3 linked regions of the Canis lupus familiaris genome follow. The protein of the gene in region 1 interacts with the protein of each later gene in a pairwise test. Links are inferred from orthologs where the notes say so. Each region holds a gene or a part of one and is shown on either strand. Other genes may lie near its edges. The genes, in order: LRP6, LRRK2 and GSK3A.

What was found.
Region 2: the proteins of LRP6 (region 1) and LRRK2 interact in binary tests that used the Homo sapiens proteins (3 or more experiments, as listed by UniProt). The link is inferred for Canis lupus familiaris from reciprocal best matches to the Homo sapiens genes LRP6 and LRRK2.
Region 3: the proteins of LRP6 (region 1) and GSK3A interact in binary tests that used the Homo sapiens proteins (3 or more experiments, as listed by UniProt). The link is inferred for Canis lupus familiaris from reciprocal best matches to the Homo sapiens genes LRP6 and GSK3A.

What each region holds. Positions count from the first base shown.
Region 1 is NC_049248.1:12,171,066-12,175,455, forward strand, and holds the start of LRP6 (low-density lipoprotein receptor-related protein 6), read right to left. Parts: upstream 2,947-4,390; 5' UTR 2,761-2,946; coding exon 2,706-2,760; intron 1-2,705. UniProt on the Homo sapiens protein: Component of the Wnt-Fzd-LRP5-LRP6 complex that triggers beta-catenin signaling through inducing aggregation of receptor-ligand complexes into ribosome-sized signalosomes.
Region 2 is NC_049248.1:33,297,699-33,299,998, reverse strand, and holds the end of LRRK2 (leucine-rich repeat serine/threonine-protein kinase 2), read right to left. Parts: intron 2,078-2,300; coding exon 1,956-2,077; 3' UTR 539-1,955; downstream 1-538. UniProt on the Homo sapiens protein: Serine/threonine-protein kinase which phosphorylates a broad range of proteins involved in multiple processes such as neuronal plasticity, innate immunity, autophagy, and vesicle trafficking.
Region 3 is NC_049222.1:112,856,983-112,861,336, reverse strand, and holds the start of GSK3A (glycogen synthase kinase-3 alpha), read right to left. Parts: upstream 2,884-4,354; coding exon 2,601-2,883; intron 687-2,600; coding exon 499-686; intron 1-498. UniProt on the Homo sapiens protein: Constitutively active protein kinase that acts as a negative regulator in the hormonal control of glucose homeostasis, Wnt signaling and regulation of transcription factors and microtubules, by phosphorylating and inactivating glycogen synthase (GYS1 or GYS2), CTNNB1/beta-catenin, APC and AXIN1.

The sequences.
Region 1 (4,390 bases):
ACCTGAGTATCCCACTTGCAAAAGAAGCAGTTAGACCAGAATGATCAAGATCTCTTCTGTAAGAATCCATACATCTTATACAAGTTAAATCTCAAATTCCTAGCATTTGAGGGTATGTCCACAATAAAAAATAACGAAAATAACATTAGCAAATCACTGATACTCATCATTTCATTTAAAATGCCTGTTAAACATGCAAATCAGATCAGTACTACTACCTACATTTTACAAGAAAATGAGGCCCAGAGAAATTGACTAGACCCAGAATCACAAAAGTTATTAAGTAGAGAAGCATAGACTTTGAACCCAAGATTTAAGTGTCAAAATCCCCAAATCTTTCCATTACACTTTGCCCTCCCATGGTAAGGATAGGGATGCAGATGATAATAGCATTATTCCCTGGCCTTCAGATAATGATTTAACAAAAGGTCTCCCAAATTCTCATCATCCCATCATCCCAATGTTAACTTTTCAATGTTAACTCCTCTGTCCAAAAAAAAAAAAAAAAAAAATTATCTTGAGGCAACAAATTAATCACATTGTTCTCCTTAGAGTCCAAGGTTAACTAATGCCACTTTTATAACAGAGAATGACATTATCTAGGAATGAAAAGAATCTAAAATATGAATAATAATCTTTCACATCAAAAGACCATTTTAGTTCAAATAATATGCACCCATAGTCAAGTACTGTTCAATTCAAAGACCACCTGATACCATGAGTATGCTACATTTAAAATGAGAGGAAACTTTGCTATTAGAAATGAGGCAGTTTAAACTATTAACTCTTTTAGGTCTGTTACATAACATCATACTAAAAATTAATGCTTCAAGTGCAACTTCTCTAAACCATGAAGGAACAAACCCAACTCTAGGCTCAAACTTGGTGTTAAAATAAATGGAATTTACATCACACTCTCATCTTCCAAGAAATAAAACCAGGCAACCAGAAGTATCCCAAGTTATGGGTTTAGATTTCCCCAAGACTTTAACCAATCAGTGGACTCTCATTTAATTCTACTAACTTACTGCCTTAAAAAAAAAGTACATATTCTTATGTAAAATATGTTTCTCACAGCTATAGCAAAATCCCCTTTCAACAGTATACTATAATGAAATAAACATACACTTATTAAACCTCACAAAGAGATAACAATGCATTAAATTCTCTGCCAAGAAAATTAAGTGAGCACTGTCTTTCTGGGGGTCACATGCGAAAATAGTTTGGGATATGCTTACAGTGAGTCATAATTAAGTAGATATAACATGCAAACGTAATAATCCTGCAGAAGAGTACTAAAGAAAAAAACTCCTCCTCCTCCTCAACAACAAAAAAAGTCAATCACATTCATCCAAAATAAAAATACACACACAAAAATGGCATACTGGGCTCATTTGTGCAAGGTCATGAGTTACTATTGTGCCCCGTCAACTTTAACAAGTTTTGGAAGCTTAGCAAAAGTTTAGCTTGTTAAATTAAAACCTAAAAATCTCCACAGATTCAAGAGATCTTCTGCCTGGAAAGAATTTACCACTAACATAAGTGAGAATTTTAAAAAAATCAAAGCCACAGCCACTGCATCGATCCGTGCTTAAATTCCTCTGCTAGTAAATGCTCAATAGCACCAGACTCCTCACCACTTCAACACTGATAAGTTTGAGAAGAGCTGCTGAAATCTTGAGGGCCAATCAAAAACCTAAGTGAACTGTCACAAAATAAAAGTCACAGTGTACGTGACAGCTTTACAGGCCAATTAAAAAAAAACAAAAACAAAACAAAAAAAAAAAAAACACCACAGGGCCATCTAATTAATTGATGCGATCCTCCGAGTAAATGATCTAGAATAAAACAGCCCCTGTTATTTACCAAAGTGCAAGCAGTCCCCAGGGGAGCGCAGCAAATGATAATAACTTCGGTTCCAGGACAGGCTCCTCTTCACACCAGTATGACTTTCCTACTTAGTGCCAACTGTACACTTGCATGCTCCGAAAATAGGGGCGAGTCCTGACGACCAGGGGTTATAAGGGCAACGTTTCTATTTTATTATGGGCCGAAGCTGAGAAGAATCCCAATGCGTTTCAGCTCGACCTCACCACCTCGGAGTCACTTTCCAACTGCGCTCTCACCCAGGATCATTATATCCCCCAACGGAAGCCAATCATTAGTAGTAGCAAGGCCCGGAGAAAAGAAAATATATATATATATTTTATATTTATATATACTTTTTTTATTTATATATATATACATATATAGTAAAGAGGCTCTAAAAGTTCACCTAAGAGACACGGAGAAGGTGGGGGCTTCAGGAGAGGAGGCCGACATTTAAAGCATCTCAAACATTTTAAAAGCCAAAACACGTACAAAGACCCTCCTCCCGGGTGACTCCGGGCAGAAAGAGACCCTCAGTCACCGCGACAGGACGCGGCTGCACGGGTTCCCCCGGACACGCAGCCGGATCGGGGCCGGGGCTCGCCCGGGGAAGGTCCGGAACCCCGGGCAGGGGTGCGCGTTGTGGCCCGGCGGAGCGCACAGCCCCTGCTCCCGGGCCCCTTTCTCTCTCCTTCCCCACGACCAGGCCTCTCCGGGCTCCTCTTCCCCTTCTCCGCCCTCCCTCCCCCTCCCTCCCCCTCCCCCTCCCCAGTCACGCACCAAACAAGGCCACCTCCCCCCCAAATCCCACCAACTTTGGCGACCCCCCTTCCCACCTCTCAGGAGCGCACAGAAACTGCAGGCCAGGAGGCTCCTCAGGACGGCCCCCATCTTCCCTTCTCGCGTTCTCTTCTCTCACCGGCGAGGGGCGGCCAGAAGGGGGGGAGGCGAGGAGCCGGGGCGGCCGCCGCAGCGGCAGGTCTGCAGGCTCATGCTTCCCAGCTTTCCAGAGAGAGAAGAAAGAAAGGGGCACGTCAGGGCTCCGCGCGCGCCGCCGCCGCCGCCGCCGCCGCCGCCGCCCTCTCTACCGCGCCGCTCTGCCGGGGGCTCGCGCGACGCCAGCGTCTGCTTCCATCCCGCCGCCTCCTCCCCCGGCGCCCCGCTTCCCCCGCGCAGCGCCTCATTCAGCCTCTTCCTCTCACGCAGCGGCGCAGGGATACCGCGGGCCGCCGCCGCCACGGGTCGCCGCGAAGGTCTCCCTGCGCGCGGGCGGGGCCCTCCCTCGGCGCCGCCTCCCGGGCCGCCGCGAAAGGAAGTGGGGGGCCGCGCGCACGGCCTCGGCTGGGAGACCCCGGGAGGCCCGCGCGGCGAGCGGAGGCGAGCCCCGGGGCAGAGGCCTCCCGCCGGCGCATTCCTATGGGATTCTTTCCTGGGCCGGCCGCCGCGGCCCTCCCCGCGGAGGGCGTGAAGCGACGTCGAACAACCTCGGCCCGGCGTGGTCGGGACTACTTTCTGCGGCTCGGCCGGGCCGCCGCCTGCTCCGCTCTTTGTGCGGGCGCCGCCGGCCGAGCCAGGTGGAGGTCCGGGCCGCCGCGGGCTGACACCTGGGTCGCGGGGGGGGGGGGGGGGCGGGGCGGGGCGGGGGGGGGGGGGGAGGGGGCGTGGGAGCTGCAGGCCCGGCTCTGCGCGCCGCGCGAGTCCCGACGCGGGGCGCTGAGCTGGCTCCTTTCTCGCGCTTGGAAACGGGCTTGAGCGTTTTTCTTTTACGAAAAATTAAGGCTAATGCTGCTTCCCCCAGCTTTAAACGTGACATGGTGACGGGTGGTCAAACGCCAACTCCGAGCAGAGATTTTTCATTTCCTCCTGCCTTTGCAGAATTACAGACTGTCCCCAGAAGTAGGGCCGGCGAGGACTAACGATTTTCTAAACTGGCAGATAAAAATCCCAAGATAAATGCGTCAGCACCTAAGACAGAGCAAAGGGACACTTGGTAAGGACTGCGTTGGGGGTTTTAACAAGTTGCGATTTATAGATGAGTGTTTGGCAATTTTTTTTGTTGTTGTTGTTGTTGTTTTTATCAGCTCGCAGCTTGAGGGGGAAAAAGATTCACCTGAATCTCAGACTGGTTTTGCACGGCCTCTGCTGCTTTGGATGCACTGGGCTACCAGATGTAACAGCCCATAGGCTCCCTTGAAAAGAAGTGGCAGCTTCAGCCTAGGAGGGAACTCAAGCCCGAGTTAACTATAATGGAGCCATCAGGTGCATTCTGTCCAGCTGTCACAGGCCCTTACCTGGAGGCAGATGGGCGGGGACAGTGGAGCAACTCTCACAACGTTACTAATATAGCAAGCAGTCTTCTCTTATCTGCAAGGGGATGCCTCCCAAACCCCCAGTGGATGCCTGAAGCCATGGATAGTACCCAACCCCGTATATACTGTTGTTTTTTTTTTGTTTTTTTTGTTTTTTAATTTTTTTATTTATTTATGATAGTCACAGAGAGAGAGAGAGAGGCAGAGACACA
Region 2 (2,300 bases), about 21 Mb from region 1:
GGAAAATTCTCAAAAAATTTTTTTACTACTTTTTGCTGTGTTTCATAAATTTATATCACAATCTTGATGAAAAATAAGATGAATTTTACTTAAAATAGTTCACACATAATCCATAGTGCTTGCCAAAATTATATTTGAGGGACTCTCTTTTTACATTTAAAATTCCTCTCAAAATATTTTCTATGAAGATAAACTCTTATGCTTTTATAATGATTAGTAGCTTCTTTGGGGGTTTTAACCAGGCAAAACTTAAAATGACTGTCAATTTTTTAATTAATTGCTCTAAAGTCATTCTTTTTTCAACACTCAAAACTGAACAATCCTACTTAATTTTTATGAGAACTTAAAAAATGAAACATATCAGGCCTGTCAGGTTTTATCCTGGGATCCTGGAAACTATGTGTACTATAGAAAACTGGATAAATCCTCAGGAGAAAACTTTAGTTAGCATTTTCTATATACCCATACATGTATTCATATAAAATTTCATATTAAGCAGATTATAGACCTTTATATGAAAAATAAAACTATCACAAAGTTTTAAAATTCTTAAACATGCTTTAAAAATGTTTATTGTTCCATTTAAATATGATTTTCATTTACATATTTCTTCATAATTATCTTTGTAAAAAATTGCAATAAATACAAAGAAAGTGAGAAATATCATAGGAACAAATTCCTTCGTTATTTTTAAAATCATCCTATAATACAACATCAGTCAGTTCTGAGAATATTAAATGGACTAGTTATCCTATCATAGGAAATTGTTTGAAATCATGAATATTGGCCAGGGCCAATTGATTTACTAGAAATGTTTTTCCTTAAAACAGAAATGACACTCAATTTGTTCTGTAGATACTTGGCCCTGATATTCGTACTGTGGCCAGATATTTAAACAATTTAGGTATAACTCAGGAGACTAGGTTAGCAAGTATTTTTACCCATCATAGCCTGAAGCTCCTCTCTTCCTCATCAAACTAAAGTGTTACAAACTTGCATGCATAGTCTTGATGGGAGTTGTGGAATTCTGTAATTCTGGAAATGTTTTTGTTTTTGTTTTTGTTTTTTTCCTGAGTGATGCAGGATTTGCAGAGTCATAAATTTAGGAAGAACATAGGTAGAAGCATCAGAGCAGAGATTAGGAACAAGTAACCAGCTGTCTAGTTTAACACTGAAAATCCAAATTAAACATTAAAAATATCACTTCAAGACTGAACATTGTATCTACACCAATTATACAAATTTCAGGGTATCCACATTCAAAGATAGAACTGTAAAACAGGAAAAGAGAAAGTAACTGTGTCTTTTCTGGATATGAGAAACATATATTTCATTTTCTCATTAGCACTTTTCATGACATTTTCTTTTAGATTGAAGGAAGCTGCAATAGATGCATTGTTTGAATCAGCAATAAAGAGAATGCACATCCCAATGATGGGCTTTATTAGTGATAATTCATTGACTGTTTACAAGCATATATGATAGTTGCATTTAAAAGTAATCTAAGAAGGAATGTATTACACATCAAACAGTCCTAATATGTTTATTCTACTTTGCAAAATACGTAGAAAGTAATCAAACAACATTTTTGTTTAAGTGCAGAATTTTAAATAATGCTTACCTTCCTTTAACAACAAAATTAATCACTTTGTAAATTTTAGTATGAGTCCTGCAATTATGTATTTTTTAGATTTCCTTTCATTACTTAATCCAAAAAATTAATTAGGATGCATAGGAAATAAAATGTTATGTTTTAAATAGTTCTTTAAAACATATTTTCCACTGATAATTATTTTACACATATTTATATTTAAAATAAAATATATAAACATTCCTTCATATACACAAGCTATTTCAAAGAGTGGAAGTACCCTTTACATATGTAAACATTTTTAAAGAAATATTTACAATAGAATAATTTTCCCATCCAAAGATGAAGATCTTCAATATCTCTCTTATTCAACCGATATTCTTCTCATTTTTTCAGCTAATTCTTTTCTCACTTCAATATGTTTTTCTAAATTTTGCACTTCATGTGGAAGATTGATGTCCCAAACAGACAAACAAGATTGTATCTCTACAAAACAAAATAATGAAACCATGTTTCAAAGATTCGGCATAAGACATTTTTATTTTATTTCAATTTTGTTCATTTATATTTGTCTTTTACAAACATATACATAAGTACAGCTAAAAATAACATGCTAAATTACTGTCATTTATATGAAACTCCATCTAGAAAATATTTAAAATATATTTTAAGAAATATATACAGAAACTACTACATTTCAAAAAGAGTA
Region 3 (4,354 bases), on another chromosome or scaffold:
CAGATCTCCCCACCACGGCATGTGGTTTGGTGAGTGTGGGGCAGGCTGCATTTCACCCTGCACTTGGCCAAGCACCTGGGTCAGGGCATGACCTTCACAAACACGCTCATCACCTCCACCAGCTTCCTGCCCGCTCTGTGCAGAAGGGTAGCTTTGTGCGTGAAGTGGAAGGCTTCGGAATCAGGCAAGCCAGAGTCTAGTCTTGCCCTCAAGTCAACTCTCTTCTACGAGTCTCAGTCTTAAGACACCGATACCTACCCTCAAACGATCTTTACGGGAGTTAGATAAGAACTTGCCCTTGTTACAAAGCACTTCACGCCAATCCAAAAGCCAGTAAACACCATCCTGGGCTCTCTGGGAACCCGCATGCCTATCTTCCACACAATTCACTCCCTTCTCTTTCCCTACTCTGGCCCATGTTCAGGTCCCCTGTGGAAAGCCAATTCCAGCCCTCTCGCCTATCACACCTGGTTACACCTCCTTGTCCCCACTTGCTACCTTGAACCTTTTGTCCTGGAGAACCTTCTTGATGGCCACCAGTTCCCTGGTCTCAGCCAGCCGTGCCTGGTACACGACCCCAAATGAGCCATTGCCAATCACTTTGATGTCTGTGTAAGCCACCTCCTGGGAGCGCTCCGGGCCTTGGCCTAGAGTGGCTACCACTGTGGTCACCTTCCCGCTGTCACCTGGGGAACAAAGGGGACACACAATCCACTGACCATCCCCCTTGCCACCACCCAATCATAGGGCTGTGGGAAGGAGGGGAATCACTACAAGGTGCTTACTAGGGGCCTCCTCATCCCCTCATCTTGGAGCAAAGATGGGTGTCAGATGCCTCCAGGTGTACTTTCTCCTTTTCCCTCCAGGGAATGCTAAATCCTGCCTCTTCTTCTGTGGGAGGACACTGACATCTAAACCTCTTGCTGTTCAAGCGTTGATAAGCTGTAATTTCTATGCCTGATAAGCAGCAAATCACTGGTCCCTCTTGGTTCGAGGGCAGCCTCACACTTGCAGATGTTGACTCCATCGACTCAGAGCTTACTGCCTGCTGGGGCCCCCTCCTGCCTGGGGAAAGCCTGACCCAATCTCTTCCATTTAATACAGCAGCAACCCTAAGGTACTTTGACTTTCAGCAAGCACTAGTTTTTGTCACAGCTTGGGGAACAGTGACCTCTAAGTCCTCATTGGTAGAGCTGGTAACTGCCACTGGTTTTCGGTGGCAGAAAGGACTCCTTCAGACTTAAGTGCCAGTGCCAGGACTCTCACTTTTTGGGGAGAGCTAGCCCGTCCCAAATACTTTGGGGTTAGAAAAAGTGCTGACATGACCTCCTCATCTGTGTGACCCAGAGCCCTAGACCCTTTCATGTATTTGGAGGGGTCCCCAGTGGGCAAGTACTAAGTTCTGAGAATGGCGAATCTGACCTCCGTTAACCAGGGGCTAGCCAAGCCTCGGTCCTCCAAAGGAAAGCTGTAACCCCTAGCTCCATTCTCCAAACAGCAGCAAACTTTTGTGGCGTTCTTAGAGAAAAGTGGCCCCTTTACTTTGGGGAACCATCAGACCCCAAAGAAAAGGAGTCACTGATGAATCAAACCCATTTTGAGGGGGCAGTGACACCTTTTGGAAAGAGATGATCCTACACAGCTGTTCTTCCACAGCCAGTGACACCACACCTCAGAACATGGGTTTAACCTCAGATCCATATCCTATGGGGAACTATGACCCTCCCCTGACCCTGTTTCATTTTTGTGGAAGAAGACCCACCACTATAAGTTTTTCATTTTCCTTGGTGTTTTGGGTTTGTTGTTTTTTTTTATTTTTTTTTTATTAAGCAAATTCTACCCTCAATGTAGAGCTCGAACTCACAACCCTGAGATCCAGAGTTGCATGCTCTACCGACTGAACCAGCCAGGCGCCCCAAGCCAAGCTTTCAAAAGAACACTGACTACAGACTTGGTCTGCAGAATACAATGATTCCTAGTTTGTCCTTATTTCTAAGAAGCAACAATCATTAATTTCTACCACCGGGGATACAGTTTTACCTGTTACAGATGGGGTGATGGTAACTGATCTTGCGTTTTAAAAGGAAAGACTGCCTGGGTACCAGGTTTGGGAAGCCCTGGCCCAATCCTTCCCGGCCAGAGTGACCCCTAAACCATTTCCATGTGATATTCACTCCAAATCCCCATCCTCTAGAGGGGAGCAAATTCAGACCCCCCTCTTCTGAGGTGATGGTAATCTCATTCTTTTTGGGAACAATAACTCTCTAGCCCCATTTGCAAGTGATGACTCCTGATCCTGTTGTCTAATGGATGGCAACATCAGATTCCTGTTTTTGAGGCTTAAGGATCCAAGCCCTAGGCATCGGAAGAACAGGAACCTGTGACCCCTGTTTTGTGGAGAATTACTAAATCTAATCCTAAACTCCAATTGATGGTGACCCCTCAAATCCCTTTCTCTGGGAGGGGGAGACCTCAGATCCCATCTTTGGGAAGCACACTGAGCTGGAGCTCCTATCTGGGCATACTGAAGAACCTGATCGACGTCTGAAGGGCTTCAGGAACCCAGATCTCCACCCCCCACGGACGCTGCTAATACTCACGGCCCAGCTTCACTCCCGGCGGCGGGAAGCTAGTGCCCGCACCCGGGCCGCCGCTGCCTCCTCCGCCGCTGCCGGTGGGGCCGCCCCCGGAGCTCGAGGCCCCCACGCCCCCACCCATGGCTCCGACTGACGCCTTCCCACCGCCGCTGCCGCCCGGGCCGGAGGCCGAGCCCCCGGGGCCGCCGCCGCCGCCGCCGCCTCCGCCGCCTGGCTCCGCGAACGAGCTGGTCCGCGCCCGGCCCGAGCCCCCAGGGCCGCCCCCTGAAGGCGCGCCGCCGCTCATGGCGCCGAGCGCAGGCCCAGGCCGCGGGGCTCGGGCTGCCCGGGCTGCCCCCGCCGCCGCCGCTGCCGCCGCCTCCCCCGGGCTCTGGCCTCTTCCAGGCCGCGCCGCTCGGGCTCCGGCTCCGGCCCAGCGCCCGCCGCGGGGCACGCCGGGAGATGCAGTCCGCCTGCCCTACGCGCCGCCGTCGCCGCCCTCGGTCGGCACAGAGAACCGCGGGGCACGCCGGGAAATGGAGTCTGCAAAGGCTTCAGAGCTGACCGCGGGGGATGACGGGTCGCGCTGCTCGTCAGGAAATAGAGTCCTAGGCAATAAGTCGGCCGACTGTGTAGACGGCGGACCCTCAAGTACTTTGAGAAGTGGAGTCAGAGTCACACACTCGCTCCACTGCAGCAACTGCGAGCGCTAGATGTGCTTCAGAAATGCAGTTGAAGCCACTCTTTTCGGAGAGCTTTGTAGTCCTGATGCACGCCGGGAAACGGAGTCCAGACGCTCATTTAGTCTATTGGTTGTGTATGCCGGTCAGCGCCAGGTGCACTGTGGGAAATTGAGTCGGCGCCGGTGCATCCGCAGATATCAGGCCGTGAAGCAAGCCGGGAAATGGAGTCGTCGCCACGCCCTCACCGCATTGCAGGTGTACCGCGACTGCCAAAGTACGCCGGGAAATGGAGTCCCATGTGCTCCCCAAGCCCCAAGTGGACACTGCTATTACGGAGATAGGCTAGGAAATAGAATAGGTAGGTACGGCGTTCCTCTGCCCTCTTATGGTGGGTCGCAGTTCCTGCCGGGAAATGTAGTCGACACCAACGCTTCGGAGTAGTTGCCACAGTGAGCCTTTGTGTCTTCTGGGAAATGGAGTTCAAGGCAGACTCATTTGACTGAGGGGGAGGGATCTACCAGGAGCCCGAAGAATGCTGGGTAATAGTCCAGACCGGATCCTAACCCTTTGAGACGAGACTGCAGAGGCTCGCTGGGAAGTGTAGTCCAATCGGTACATTTGGGAAAGCGTGAGCCAAATGTGGAAGACGTCAATCCCCTGGGAAGATTGCAGTGTTCAACGCCTCCTTACCCTCCTCAGACCCCAAGAAAAAGCTGAAGTTGGTCAGGGGCTGCGGTAAAATGGAGCCCAAACATTCCAAATTCCAAGTTTCCACAAATCAGGAAGGAAAAACCCTCCCTCAAACAATTTGGGGAACAAAGTTCCCGGTGGTCTCTCAGAACAATAGTCTTCTAGCTTTTTCTACCGACGCGGGTTCACCAAGAGGCTGAGACGAGCATTAAAGCAGGTGAAAAAATTTCCGTTTTGCATCTCCTTTCAGCCTTTTGCGTACTCCCGCCTTCTAAGTTTACAGGATCCAGGAGGGCCCAAAACAAGGAAGCCGGCTAAGAGTAGCCTCGGGTTTTGTGCACGGACTAGGTCGCCCTATTTATCGATTAATAACCGGAAAGACTAATTTCAAAGGACCCTGGGAAA